Elephas maximus indicus: one gene and its partner. The protein of the gene in region 1 purifies or fractionates together with the protein of each later gene. This does not show direct contact. Links are inferred from orthologs where the notes say so. Each region holds a gene or a part of one and is shown on either strand. Other genes may lie near its edges.

Region 1 (7,473 bases):
GAGAGGAGTGGGCAGTACCCAGGACCAACAGATACAGGTTTGAGAAACTTCTCTGACCTTAGAGTTCAGTGCACCTATGTGAGATGGTACCTGAAAGGCCACTTATCCAGCTCACTCTGCTGCCCTCTGCCATTCAGAAAAAGAAAAGAGAGGGAGAAAAATAGCTGACACTTCGAAATGGTGCTTGCTTGGTGCCAGGTTCTGTTCTAGAGCTTTACATATACTAACTCCTTAATCATCATACTAACCCCATGAGGTGGGTGCCATTATCCCCATTTTACAGATGAGGAAACTGAGACACAGAAAGGTTAAGTAGTCTATAAGGTCACAACCCAGAGAAGATGTCACCATCTCTTGGGCCACAGCCTCTCCCTGTCAGCTACCCTTAATCAGGATGCTTTCTCTATATTTGGGAGCCAGGGTAGATGAAAAAAGAGGTTCACTGCTGAGAAGGGTTGTGCCGAGCTACTTGGAGAAGGCAATCAGAGGCCTGAATGAGAGGTCAGGGCTTGTTCCCCTGATGCTCCAATACCACAGGTGGCAAAGAGTACAGTACAATGGATCACTTTTACATGGCCTTTTAACTCCTGCCAAATGATAGGGTGGGACTATGCAAATGAGGTACTTGTGGCCCACCAAGGGGGTTGGATAGCTTGTTAATAATGCAGATAAGGTGCATGGCACCCTTGTGAGGGTGGGACCATGCAAATAAGGTATATGGAACCCTAACAAGGGGATTGGTCAATTTTGCCATCCCGCTAGGCTTAAAATGAGCCATCCTATAGGTGGACAGGGGAGACTTCACCACCACCAAGAAGAAAAGGTTCAAGTGGAGTGCATCCTTCAGACTCGGGGTCCCTGTGTTGAGAACCTTCTATACCCAGGAGACAGAGAGAGAAAGCCGTAACACTGGAGATGGCATAAGACAGTGAGTTGGGATGACAGGGAAAGGAGAGCAGACCAACAAGAGACAGAGCAGTGGGTCTCCCGGCCCAAGGAGCAAGGCTGTTACAGTGGGTGTGCTGACCTAGGGATCCACTGAGCAAGAGACCTGAGAGCCTTCAGGCAGGAGGCTTCCTTGTGGAGTGGGGGGTCCCTGGGCACTTACTGGCAGAGCTAAAGAGCTTTGTAACACTTGCCCAAGCAGACAGAGGCTGGGCTGAGAGGCTGAGGGACCAAGGGCCAGAGAGAGGCCTGCCTGCGGGCACAGCTGAGAAGAGGCTGTCCTGATGGAAGAACTGTGTCCTGAGTTGTTCCTGATCCTGAATTGTAACCTGTTACTTCCCTAATAAGGAGCCCTGGTGGTGCAGTGGTTAAAGTGCTCAGCTGCTACCTGAAAGGTCAATGGTTCGAACCCACCTGCTGCTCCTCTGGAGAAAGATGTGGCAGTCTGCTTCTGTAAAGTTTTATGGCCTTAGAAACCCTATGGCGCAGTTCTATTCTGTCCTGTGGGGCCACTCTGAGTCAGAATTGACTCAACAGCAGTGGGTTTATATTATTTATTTATTTTTTGAACTTCCCTAATAAACTCCTTAACTGTGAGTATGGTCTGTGAGTTGTATGGCCATTGCAAGGAATTATCAAACCCAACAGAGAAGCAGAGAGTACCGAGGGAGAGATGGCTGGTTTTAGATTTGGTAAAAAGGTTGAAGAGAGGAGGTACGTCTGACCTCCACCTCATTGGATTCAGCTTTGGGCTGATGTGATCGTGATTTTCTCTCCCCCTCCTGAAGTGAGAGGCGGTCAGGTGCCCACCCCCCATGCCATTTTTATAGAGGGCCCACTCCCAGATCGGTTCCTGGGGAAAGGAGGAAGCCCTCACTACCTCACTCCAGGCTGGAGCAAGGAAGAGGAAAACCTCCTTCCCAGAGGCCATTTCAAACTGACTGGTGCCAAAGCTGACCTCAGCGCAGAGTAACTGCTGATGCCCACCCCAACTCTTGCAGGGCCCCCTATACCCTCCACCTTACCTTTCGCCTCTCCATCTCCTGAGCACCGTAGAAGGGGTAGGCACCCCAGTCTCAGGGTCCCCACCCCAGGTCTGCCCTAGGCCCGCTGGGCCTAGCTGGGGAGGGCAGGGGCGAGGCTCAGGAAATCCTTTGACCGCCCTAGGCGAGAGAGCCAGAGCCAAAGGCCTGAGCAAACAAAGATCCCATGGAGCTAGGGGCCCGGCCACCAGGGTCCTGAGTCACCCTGCTGCTGCTGGGCGGAGGCTTGAAGGAAATAGGAAAATGTGTACAAGCCACCGCTGAAAGGAGCAGACGGACCTCCGGAGGAAGAGGGTGGGAGAGGGGGTGGACGCAGGCTTGAAGGCTCTCTAAGCGTTTGGGGTAGGGGGAGCTCAAGTAATCTCTGCTTAGGACACCTCACCCCTGGACATACCCCATGGTCCTGTCTGTTCTGCTGGGGCCCTATCTTGTATACACACGTTTGCGTTGGGCTAGGGCACCTCCCCCTCCCCAGTAACAGACGCATACACAGGCTTGGCCCCCTGTGCCCACTCGCGCCGACTGCCAACTTTGGGCTGGAACCCCGCCGGCCGCGGCGTTCTGGGCTGGAACTCTGTGTGCCTGGAGGTTCCGCCCCGGCGCTGTGCTAGGACCTTCCCCTCGTGTACATTCCCCGCGCGCCTCGTGAGCTCGGGGAAAGACCCCGCAGGTGTGCAGACTGGCCCCCTTCTGGGACCCCTTTTTACGCGCACACAGCCTCTTCACGCCCAGGGTCCCTTCCCAAGTGCCCACACGAACCCCCTTTGCTTTCCCGGCTAATTCCCACTGCCCCTGGTGTCCCGCCTGGAAGAACCGATTTTAGGAAACTCTGGGGCCTGTCCAGGTGGCTCTGATTGACGATTCAGACGTGCTCATGGGCTGGCCTGACTAGAGGCTGCTCTGAGTCACCTCGTGGCTGATTTAGGGAATAACCCCAGTGCGCAGATCTTCTTTGAGAAGACGTAGCGGGGCCCGGGACAGGGACTGGGACTGGGAAGGGATGCGGGGAAGGGTGGGGGTCGCGGATGGAGAGGACGGGACTCGGGGCGCGGCGGAAGCTTTCCCCTCACCCCCTCGGCCCCCGCCCGGGGCCCGCCCTCTCCGGATGCAGTTCACCTGCCGCGGCGCCCCCTCCTCCATGGTGCCGCTCGGGCCCCTCCTCTCGACTACTCCGGTTCCGGAAGCCCTGGCTCCTCTACCAGGACTTTCAAACTTGAAACTTCCCGGGAAGCGGCGTTGGAGAAGCGGGATCGGGCGCCCCCTCCCGAGATCCGCTGGCCTTTCCGAGACCTTGGGATTAGCGCCGCCTCTCGGCCGCGTCTGATCAGCGCCCTAGATCCTGCTCCTGAAATCGGAGGGCCCAGTACCTCCCCGGTGGGGCATTTTGGACCCCACGGACCCTCTCCTTAGGCCGCAGTTCCAGCTCTGTTCGGTGACCCCCGGCCCGGAACAGAAGGCGCAGAAAGAACCATTTCCCCGGCCCTGGCTCCTTAGCATTGCCGGCAGCGCACTTAAGAGAGGCGGAGCTGGGTGGGGAAAGGCCCCTCGGTACGTAGTTGTTGTTAGTTGCCGTCTGTACCCAGCAGACTCTTTAAAATGGGGAATCAGGTTGTCCTGAGCTGAATGCTAATGCTTATCCATACGTAATTCATAAATAAAAAGGGGTTCCGCTTTTGATAGCAGCTCATAGGTTCAAGAGAAATCCTTGAATCAAACTAGCAATCCTCCTCCTTTCAAGGAATTATCCAATAGTGCAATCAATCAAGCCAACCAGCACAACGCTAATTAACGTTTAAAAATAAACGTATTTGACTGGATGGAGAATGTCGCTTCTGCAAGCCAAATGGATTACCTGATTCAACTCTCCATGGGAGGGTGTTTCCCAACTCGAGGATCATTTATCCACTCCCTGCAGCCAGGAAGCTGAATTATGTGGGGGAACTCAAGATGGTTTTCCTGTGAAATCTTTCACTGCCTCATATGTCACTTAAGGGAAAGGAGTTCAGAACTAACAGCATCCATTCACCCCTCACTTTCTAATGCACGCAGGCGGGGCAAAAGCCAAGCTTCAACAGTCTCCAGTCCTGGGCTGATGGATGAAGAATGACCAAAGAACTGTATCTCCTGTCTGATGGTGATAATTCATGGGATTGTTAATTCTTAGGAAAACTGAAGCTTGTGCTCAGCATCTAGTGGATAGTGAATAGTGCAAACCAACTCTAACGAATTGGCTGTTCAAAGACTATACAGTCAATCTGAAAGGAATCTACAACTTCCTAGCAGGCTACTTAAATAAGGTAACATTTTCCCTCTTCCCCTACACATTTTTTTTTTTCTTAGTATTGCAAACATCAGTCTGTCTATGTTAGATTTGCCTTCCTTGGGTAGAATCTGAGTGTTCTAATCACAAAAAGGCAGTCCTTTTCCTCAGACCTGTTAAAAACTAAATTTGTATGCCTTCACAAGCACAGCCATATATTAAAAAAGGAATGGTCCCTGCTGGGGGGGAAGGGGATTAGACTTTTCAAATGCCAAAATGTTGTTCTCCATATAAACAAATGGAGTGGCTATTCACTCATCTCCTGAAGAACTTGTCCCAGCCTTCAGGAAATCCTGAAGTTTTCATCCTTCGTAAAAGAATTCTGTATTTGCAAAGGCCAGGAAAGGTTCATAGCAAAATCTAACAGCAGAAAAACATGTTTCTGTGACCAAGCGAAACCATAAATTGAGGTATATGCATTATGAAACAGTAATTGAGAGAGGTTACCAGATGAATTAAAAAACAATTACTCAGAATAAAAAACTCGTATGTTTTAGCTAGCCAGATGTAAAGCAAACTTGTCAGCCAAAGAAATCCAGGTACTCTGTGGACCATTTAAAAGAGTTGGGTGAAATATAGAGGGTGCTGGCATCTTATGGAGATAACCAAAAACCAAATGAGTTGACTCCAACTCCTAGCAACCCTATAAAACAGAGCAGAACTGCCCCCATAGGGTTTCCAAGGACTGGTTGCTGGATCCAAACTGCTGACTTTTTGGTTAGCAGCTGAGCTCTTGGCCAGTGTATCAACAAGGCTCCAATGGAGGTAGGGGAATCCAATTAAATGTCTTATTTGAAATCAGGACATCATTGAAGCAGCAGCAACCTCAACAACTGCCAGAATAGCCTGGAAAAGGACATTTAAGGTTTTTGAACTAAATAAGAACACATTAGGAGTTGCTGTCCTCTGCCTTCCCAATTCATGCAGTTATTAAATTCTCAAGTACAGCACAGCTTTAGAGGATCATGCCCTTTCCTGAATAGCCTGAATAGCCACTATTTGACTTTTTCTTTTCTAAATGTCCTTATAGCAAAGGGGCTTTGAGTTACTCATCCAACCTTTCCCAATACACACTTGCCCGAAGTTTGGCCCAAGAACTCCTCTGGCAGTTGGTGAGAAAGTATACTATTCCGCAGTGATTTTTCAAGAGGTTGTCCTGTCTCTTTGCTCCCTCACAACCTAGAACTTTTACAAGATTTGCAGACACAAAGGGAGTCTAGAGTTGGATCCAACTCATAGCAAGCCTACAGGAGAGTACAACTGCCCCACCGGGTTTGCAAGGAGTGGCTGATGGAGTCAGACTGCTGACCTTTTGGTTAGCAGCCAAACTGTAAACCACAGCACCACCAGGGCTTCCGGATTAACAGGGGCAAACCATTACCTTAGAGGGCTCCCACTTTTTCAGACCCCAAAGATATGAAATATGCTTCAATGTGACACATAACCTAACTACCCCACAATATTAACCAGGACAGAAAACTCCCGGTTGTGGTCAATGGTAACTTTGTGAAACAGACTCACAAGCTCACTTCAGTGGGTATTAATTCAGCAGATTATTTTTCCTAGTGGAAGTCCTTTAAATATGGAGGAATATTTGAAATATTCAATTTCCGGTTTACTCACCTAAATAACAGTAATTTGTCCACAATTTCTGTATTCACCAGCTCAAACCTTTGCACATAAATTTATCTATTTGAAGTTTTCCCACACCTCCCCCCCCCGCAAGGATGAAACGAGCAACCAAAAAACTGAATAGCTTACCACCATCTAAATCCAAAAGCAAGTTTCTCTACAAAACAAGGCGAATGACCCCAGTCAAAAAAAAATCTTTATGTTCCTTTATTGGAGCAAGATTCCTGACCAGTACAGTGATGTATTTACTAAACATAGAGTCCTGTGCAGAGAAATTACATACTATCCATCTAAACAAGTTTTGTTACACTTTGCCTCTTGATGGAATAGTTCCATTTATAAAGTTTTATACATCAAAAGTTTTGAATTTGACCAGGCTGGCCACTGATTCATCTCTGAAAACGTTAAGTGGCGTTGATTTAGCTACATATTTTACAGCATTAAAAAAGCTTATGCATTAGGTAGCTTCTCAAAATGTTACTATGTGCACAATGGCATTTAACAGACCGAGCAAAGTCCGTCACCTCACCCAGATTCACATAGATGAGTCTCATCTGAGATAGCTTTAGGTTGGAGAGCTGGTACTTGAAGACAAAGAAAAGTACTCCTAACCTGAGTTTCTCACCAACACAGACATACTGAGCGCCTGTCTTCTTAGGCACATGTCACAGTGCCAATGAAGACATGCCAGCAACTGCCCTGTGTGTGACTCGGCATTAGAGCACCAGACCTGATGGCGGTGGCAGGCACTATTATAGTTATTACATCCAAGTAAATAAGGGCCCATTTTTTTTAAATTGCCACTTGAGATAAAAATCAAGGGTACACATACTGAATTTTGCGTAATCTAGTATCCCCAATGTGAATATTTTCAGAAACCGATGACAAATTGTATCCAACGTTTCCCAGCTATGGAGCCTTTAATATATTGATTCAAATCCCTTTACTCAGTCCACATAGCCCTGAGGTCATCCTGCAAAGTGCGTATCAAAAAATATGGAGTTAAGGTGACACAGTTTGACAACGATATGTTAAACAAGTCAAACTTGGAGGTCTTAAGTATATCTGTTCTGAGAGAAAAGCATCAAATCCTTTGTGTACACATTTAGTTTTATTGTAACAAAGCAACTTGTACACTTTTAACGTTTAAAACTGAGCATCTTTCCTTTCCAGTGAAAACAAAAAGAAAATTTAAAAATAAACAGGAACAAAATTACAATAGAGAATGTCAATTCCAAATTAAGATCCTACAGGTTCTGCTGATTCTCCCATCAAGTGGCAGGGCTCAAGTCATCATTAGGAGAGAATTTTATTTTAAAAGTGTCATCTTAAACTGCAAGGATGTCCGTTAAACATCACAATTAAACATGCCAAAGGAGAAGCCATGTTGTCAAAATGCCCACTTAACCCACCCAAACATCTCAAACCCACCCTTTGCTGACCTTCTATAACCCCATTTTTTTTTTTTTTAAGTTTTTTTCTTCTTTTTTTAAACAAGAGAAAGTAGACAGATACATGTTGGTAAATGCTAAC
Region 2 (7,478 bases), on another chromosome or scaffold:
TCCATCTAGGAGCAGAACTGCTGGATCATATGGTGATTCTGCTAAACTTCTTAAGGAACTGCCAGACTTCCCCACAGTGATGGCACTGTTTTACATTAGCACCAGCAATGGATGAGGATTCCAGTTTCTCCACATCCTCACCAACACTTGTTATTTTCTATTTTTCTAATAATAGCCATCTTAGTGGATGTGAAATAATGGTTTTATGATTTGCATTTCCCTTAATGACTAGGGGGAGTCCCTGGGTGGTGCAAAGGGTGAATATGCTTGGCTGATAACTGAAAGGTTGGAGATTAGAGTCCACCCAGAGGCATCTTGAAAGAAAGGCCTGAAGATCTACTTCTGAAAAAGGCCATTGCAAATTCTATGGAGCATAGTTCTACTCTGATACACATGGGGCCATCACCTTGAGTAGGAATCAACATGACAGCAGTGGATAATGAGGTTGAACATTTTTCATGTGCTTTATTGGCCATTTGTATTTGTTCTTTGGAGAAATATCTATTCAAGTTTTTTGCCCATTTTAAAATTGGGTTGTCTTTTTTGTTGTTAGGTTGTAACCCAAAACACCCAGTGCCGTTGAGTCGATTCCGACTCATAGCGACCGTATAGGACAGAGTAGAACTGCCCCATAGAGTTTCCAAGGAGCGCCTGGAGGATTTGAACTGCCACCCTGGTTTCTTCATACATTCTGGATATTAAACTCTTATCAGATATGTGGTTCCCAAATATTTTCTCCCATTCTTCAGGCTGTCTCTTCACTTTGTTGATAAATTCCTTCGATGCACAAAAGTTTTTAGTTTTGATGAAGTCATATTTATTTATTTTGGTTTTTGCTACTTGTGCTTTTGATATCATAACTGTGAATCCAATGTCAAAAACAAGGTCTTAAGGCTTTATCCCTATGTTTTCTTCTAAGAGTTTTTTTTGTTTGTTTGTTTCAGTTCTTATATTTAGGTCCGTGATCCATTTTGAGTTAATTTTTGTATGAGGTGTGAAGTATGGGCCCAAATTCATTCCTTTGCTTGTGGAGATACAGATGTCCCAGAACCATATGTTGAAAAGACTATTCTTTCCCCATTGAATGGACTTGACACCTTTGTTGAAAACCGATGGCTATAGATGTATGGTTTTTATTCTGGACTCTTTTTGCATTTGTCGATACATCTAGTCTTATACCAGTACCACACTGTTTTGATCACTGTAGCTTTACAGTACATTTTGAAATCCAGTAAAGTGTGAGTCCTCCTACTTTGTTCTTCCTTTTTAAGATTGTTTTGGCTCTTTGGGGCCCTTTGCAATTCCATATGATTTGAGCATCAGCTTTTCCAATTCTGCAAAAAAGGCTGTTGGAATTTGGGTGGCGATTGCATTGAATCTGGAGATCACTTTGGGGGATATCGATACCTTAACAATATTAATTCTACTAATTTATGAAAATGGGATGTCTTTCCATTTATTTAGGTCTTCTTCAATTTCCTCCAGCAATGTTTTATAGTATACAAGTCTTTCGTCTCCTTGGTTAAATTTATTGCTAGATATTTTATTCTTTTAGACACTATTGTAAATGGAATTATTTTCTTAATTTCCTTTTCAGCTTGTTCATTGCTAGTTTATATAAATGATTTTTGTGTGTTGATTTCTTACCCTGCAACTTCGCTGAATTCATTTATTAGCTCTAGTAGCTTTCGTGTGGATTCTTTGGGATTTTCTATATATAGGATCATATTGTTTGCAAATATAGTTCTACTTCTTCCTTTTTAATTTAGATGCCTTTTATTTATTTATTTTCTTGTCCTACTGCTCTGGCTAGAACTTCCATTACAATGTAAATAGTAATGGGTTAAAATGGCCATCCTTGCCATTTTTCTGATCTTAAGGGGGAAGCTTTTGGTCTTTCACCATTTAATATGATGTTCAATTGGCTTTTTCAATAATGGCCTTTATCATGTTTACAATTTTCCCTCCTATTCCTAGTTTGCTGAGTGTTTTTATCACACGAGTGTGTTGGATTTTGTTAAATGCTGTTTTTGCATTGATTAAGATGATCGTGTGGTTCTTTTCCTTTGTTCTATTAATGTGGAGTATTAAATTGCTTGATTTTCTTATGTTGAACTGCTTTTGCATTCCTGGGATGAATCCCGCCTGGTCATGGTGTATAAGCCTTTTAACATGTTGTTGGGTTTGGCTTGCTAGTATTTTGTTGAGGATTCTAGCATCTATTTCATAAGGAATATTGGTCTGTAGTTTTCTTTTCTTGTGGTGTCTTTATCTGGCTTTGGTACCAGGGTAATGCTGGCCTCATACAATGAGTTAGGAAGTCTTCCCTCCTCGTCTATTTTTTTTTTTTGGAAGAGTTTCAAAAGGATTGGTGTTAATTCTTAAATGTTTGGTAGCATTCACAAATGAAGCCATCTGGTCCGGGGCTTTTCTGTGTTGGGAGGTTTTAAGCCTTAAGTTTTGGTGTGCTTTTTAAATGCATCAATATGTAACTAGAAAGCCTACCTATTTTGTTGTCATGATATAGCATCAGATATGATAGATACAGACCCTACTTTCATGGAGTTTCCATTCCAGATCTATCTCCTTCTTGGCAAGTCAGGAACAACTATTTTCAGAGTTATAACTATCTATGAGATGGCTGTTTGGCTGTGCTGTTAAGCCTAGATTCGTAGATGTCATTGTTAGGTATCATCAAGTTGATTCTGACTCATAGAGATCCTTTGTGACAGGGCCAAACTTCCCCACATGGTTTTCTTGGGTGTAATCTTTATGGAAGCAGATTGTTGGGAGCACATCGCCAGGTCTTTCTCCTGTGGGGTCACTGGATAGGTTTGAGCCATCAACCTTTTGGTTAGCAGCCTAGTGCTTAACTGTTTGTGCCACCAGGACTCCTTCCATTTGTAGGTACAACTGGCAAATAGAGCTTATTCATTTATTAATTTATGCATTTAATCAATCAGTCAACTTCTCAACTTGGAGGGGATGCCTTCTCTGACCCCTCCATGGTGGGAAGCAACAAGTCCTTTCCCTATTCTAACCCTTGTTGCTGAGCATTGTTATTGCTAGTTTGATTGTGTCTCCACCGATGACTAGCTGCAGTCAAGTTCTTTCTATGTTATTCATCTTTGTATCCCGAGCATCTAGCCTAGTGCCTGCACATAGCAGGCCTATTTAAAAAAGAACGAAACCAAACCAAACACACTTAATTGAAGGAGAACTGCTAATTCCTAGACATACAAGTAATTTTTCCAAAGACAGTATCTATCTTCCGGGCAGCCGTGGTGGCGTAGTCGTTAAGAGCTTGGCTGCTAACCAAAAGGTCGGCAGTTCAAATCCACCAGCTGCTCCCTGGAAACCCTATGGGGCAGTTTTACTCAGTCCTATAGGGTCATTATGAGTCGGAATCCACTCGACGGCACCTAACAACAACAATCTTTCAGGAGCTCACAATTCAGCACAAAACGCTGTGTAGGACCCAGTCTGACAAGCTGTCTGAACTGAGTCCTGTGGCCCAACAGAGTCCAACGCATTGGAGATGGCAGGTGGAAAGGGGCACGGGAAAGGATTCATTCATTTATGCCACAACGTACCATACGGTAAGCGCTAAAATATCTCTTATCAAATGCGAGCCACTGTTCCAGGTATTAGGTATATACCAGGAAACAAGAAAGTTGTGGTGGCCGTGCCTTGGTGAAGCTCACGATGTAGCGAAGGACGACAGGTAGCAGACCTACTTAAAACAGTATGTAAAATTGTGCTAGGTGCCGAGAAGGAAAATAACAGGCGGCAGAAATTATCTTAAGGATGTTAGACTCTTAGGTCCGGGCAGCCGTGGGCAGGTTTTGAGCAGGAGCGGCCATGAGGGGGCGGACTCTGGGGGGCGGGAAGACCGCAGACAAGAGTCGCTGGTAATTTTAAGATGTAAATATTTTCCGCCCGACTTGAAGAAGGAGCGTATGCCTAGGGGCGACGTGGTCGCTCAGTGTGCTTGGTGTTCTCCCGGGGCGCACTGGGCTGCATTTTGAGCGCAAGCTCGGTTGCCCAGCAGTGTTGGGCGGGCTGCGGGGAACTGCAGCCCAATCTCCCAGATTTTTTACGTTCGGCACATCTAGATTCTTCCGCCCCCAGAACAGCAGACGCACCATCCGGGCTCGGATCCGGGCCGCAGCAGCGGACAAGGTCTAGCGTGCCTGGAGTCCTTGCACAGCAGCGCTCACCCCCGGGTCTTGGGGTCTGCAACAGCCGGCGGGCGGGAGGGGGCGGAGCTTACTCTGCGGACCTAGGCGGTGGCGTGGGACCCGTCCCTCGACCTAGGCCCCGCCTCCAGACCACAATGATTGGTTCAAGCCCGCGGAAGGGACGGGCGGCCCCGAGCTGCCGGGGGGTCGGGCTGGAGCGGGGGCGCTGATTGGTTCAGCAGGGATTAGGTCATCGCTAGCAGGTTCGAGCGGCCCGGACGCCGGCGGGGCGGCAGAGGCTGCTGTGAGAGGGCGCTCGAGGCTTCTTGAGCAGGAGCAAGCTAAGGAGGCGGGGAGGCGGTGTCCGCACTCGCTCGCCTGCTCGCTCGCTTCCAGGCGCCGCTTCGGGTTCGCTGCTGCTCTCCCTTTTCGCCCACCGCTTAGTGGCGCGCCCCGCAGCAGCCGCCCTTCGACCAGATCCAGGCTCATTTCGGGAGTCTTGCGCGCCCGCCGACACCGCGCGGAGAGCGAGCAGGCGCCACACCTGTGGAGCCGGCGACCGTCGGGGGTGCGGGCCGAACTCCCGCCGCGTGCGTGCTCGGGGCGACAGTCCGCCGGGGCCCCGGGGGAGGCGCGCCCCCGGCTGGGAGCCGCGGGCATCATGGGGCTCCCCGCTCTGGAGTTCAGCGACTGCTGCCTCGACAGCCCGCACTTCCGTGAGACTCTCAGGTCACACGAAGAGGAGCTGGACAAGACCAACAAATTTATCAAGGAGCTCATCAAGGACGGGAAGTCACTCATCAGCGCGCTCAACAGTGAGTGCCCCCGAGCCTGGCGGGGACGGCTGTGCCGGGGCGGGAGGGGTCGTCGGGCGGTGCTCAGTCCTTGTCGCCCGCGCGCCTCCGGGTTTTTTCACCCAGCTGCACTGAGTGACGGGTGTAGATGCTCATAACGAGGCAGGAAGGACACATAAAATGGGCGAGCCAGCAACAATCAGATGAGGAAGGAGACCCGTCGCCCAGCCGTTTGCGTTCTGGGTTGACAGGGAGGTGACCCGAGCACGAGTGGTGCTCTTGGGCGCCGCGGGTGGGTGTGGGCGGCATTCAGGTGTCCCGCAAGTGGGGCAGTAGTGCCTGGCCCGCCGCAGCCTGTCGGGAAGCCTCATCGCGTTCACTGCTCTGGCTCCCTTATGGGAAGAGTTATCACCCCTGGGTGCCTAGCCGTAGGGCTGGAGCGTGCTCTGCCGAGAAGGCGACGCCTCCCCTCGGGAAAAGGCAGGTGTGACTATTTCGATCCCGGTATGCAGCTCCCAGATTGGCGGTTCGAACCCACCACCCGCTGAGCGGGAGAAAGATGTGTCAGTCTGCTTCCATAAAGATTTACAGCCTTGGAAACCCTATGGGGCAGTTCTACTCAGTCCTATAGGGTCGCTGTGAGTGGAATTTGACTTCAGGGAAGTGGGTGGGATGCAGCGCTAGCCTGCTCAAGGCCGCCGGCTTCTCCGAAAGGCAGAGGGCTGCCTACGGAGGGGCTGGGTGAAATGGTTGGTTAGCCCGCGATTCTTTAGAGTATTGGCAGCAGGTCGCCCCCAAATCCAGCATCAGTGCCATTTACGTGTGCAGGTTCTGAATTTTGTGTTTAGCAGAAGGTGATTGGGGTGGGAGTAGAGAATCAGAGTGTTCCTTTACTCTAAACTGTGGGCGAGGGTTTAAAAATAGAATGAACATACCCTGACTCCCTCTCTCGTTCCCTCGTTCTCCTTTTTACCTCTCCCATTATGCTTGAAAACTCAAATGTTGGAGAAGAAATGTCCTCTGTCCGCACCCAGAAAGAAGTTTAAATTCATCTTAAAGATTCTCTAACCTTTCGTAAAACTGCCTTTTTGCTTTCTTTCTTTGTGGTAGGGAAGAAATGAAATTTAAATCCTGTATATGGTTTTCCCTTGACTTGCACAGATGCCAGGGAGTTTCTCCTGGCCAAAGAGAGAGTGGTGCTCTAGGGAATCAGCGCCTTGGATTATGAGAGTGTTTTTGGTTCCTTTTCAGTCTAACCATTTTAAAAATAGTTCAATCCATATTATAATTTCCAGAATTAGAAATAATACGAAGGCAGATAGTGGAATTGTCTTTGACTCTTTTACTTTCCTGTCTCTGATGGATTTCTTAATAGGTGGTATATTTCAACTATGAAAGTTTGCATTGGTAGAGTGGGGTCCAAGCTGTGAGAATTGCATGCAGGCCTCCTTAAAGGAGTGCCTGAGGTGTCATTTTGTGAGCCTGTTGCTTCTAAAAATGGAGACAGAGACGATGGAATCCCAGGGCAGCAAGTGCCAATCTTTTGGGGTGAAATGAGTATAAAACTAATGGGAGTAATGAGGCATCTTAGAGGCAGGGTCTCTGCTGGGATCTGTGCCTTACCTGAAGCATATGAATAGACTCTTCTTTTGTCAGTGACCAGGGACTCCCTTGACTCAGGGAACACTGGACCCCTGGTTTGGAGCCAGTTAGGGGCTCACTTAGGGGTTGGGCCCAGGAATTTTGATTGAACTCTGAGGCTGCCTTGAATTTGGACCCCTGATCATTCAGCAAAGTTTGGAGTGACTGGGGTGTGCTGGGTAATTGCGCTGGACACTGAGGATGTCGCAGTGAACATTCTGTTGCCACCATGGCTGCGGAGGTTTACTCCATGCTGGACGCGGCTTCACCTAGGAGTTACCTCATACAAATGAGAAAACTGAGGCTTGAGGATACACTAGCCCAGAGTCACACAGCTCTAGTGGCTGGGCTTAGTTTAGTACTCAATGGTCTCAGCCAGAGATGAAGTTAATACTCTTGCAGAACTCTTGAGCCTGTTCCATCCCATTTGCCCTGAATGGAACTCTCTGGACCAGACCTGCTAGAATTTGGACTTGTGTTTTATACTTCAGCCTTGAATCTGGGGAGATTGCATTTGGGTGACTGGCAATTTGCCCAACTACTTTTTTTTTTTTTTAAGAGTGCTTTGGGTAGGAAGAAATATTTCAGTGATGGGGTTCGAGGGCTATTTCAGTTGTCTAATTGACCAGCCCTATAACTTGTGAGGAAGACTGATTGGGAACTAGGTGTAAAAAAAAAAAAAAAAGTACTGGTCTCTAAATCTAGCTCTACCACTAAATGTGACCTTGAACAGGTCATGTGACCTTTTAGAGCTTTGGTTTTCTCATCTTTAAAATAGAGTGGAGCTGTTTCCCAGACTTCAGGCATTCACTTATCAACTAGATACTGCTGTGTTGTATACTGCAGTTTTGGTATTTACGTA

Evidence for each region. Proteins that work in one complex are often made in the same cells at the same time.
Region 2: the proteins of PKN3 (region 1) and ARHGAP26 purify together in Homo sapiens (affinity purification with mass spectrometry; 3 studies listed by BioGRID and IntAct, with this or other methods). This does not show direct contact. The link is inferred for Elephas maximus indicus from reciprocal best matches to the Homo sapiens genes PKN3 and ARHGAP26.

Annotation. Positions count from the first base shown.
Region 1 is NC_064827.1:79,680,273-79,687,745, reverse strand, and holds the start of PKN3 (serine/threonine-protein kinase N3), read right to left. Parts: upstream 3,097-7,473; 5' UTR 1,986-3,096; coding exon 1,971-1,985; intron 1-1,970.
Region 2 is NC_064820.1:156,212,793-156,220,270, forward strand, and holds the start of ARHGAP26 (rho GTPase-activating protein 26), read left to right. Parts: upstream 1-4,450; 5' UTR 4,451-4,842; coding exon 4,843-4,996; intron 4,997-5,002; exon of another isoform or gene 5,003-7,478. UniProt on the Homo sapiens protein: GTPase-activating protein for RHOA and CDC42. Facilitates mitochondrial quality control by promoting Parkin-mediated recruitment of autophagosomes to damaged mitochondria.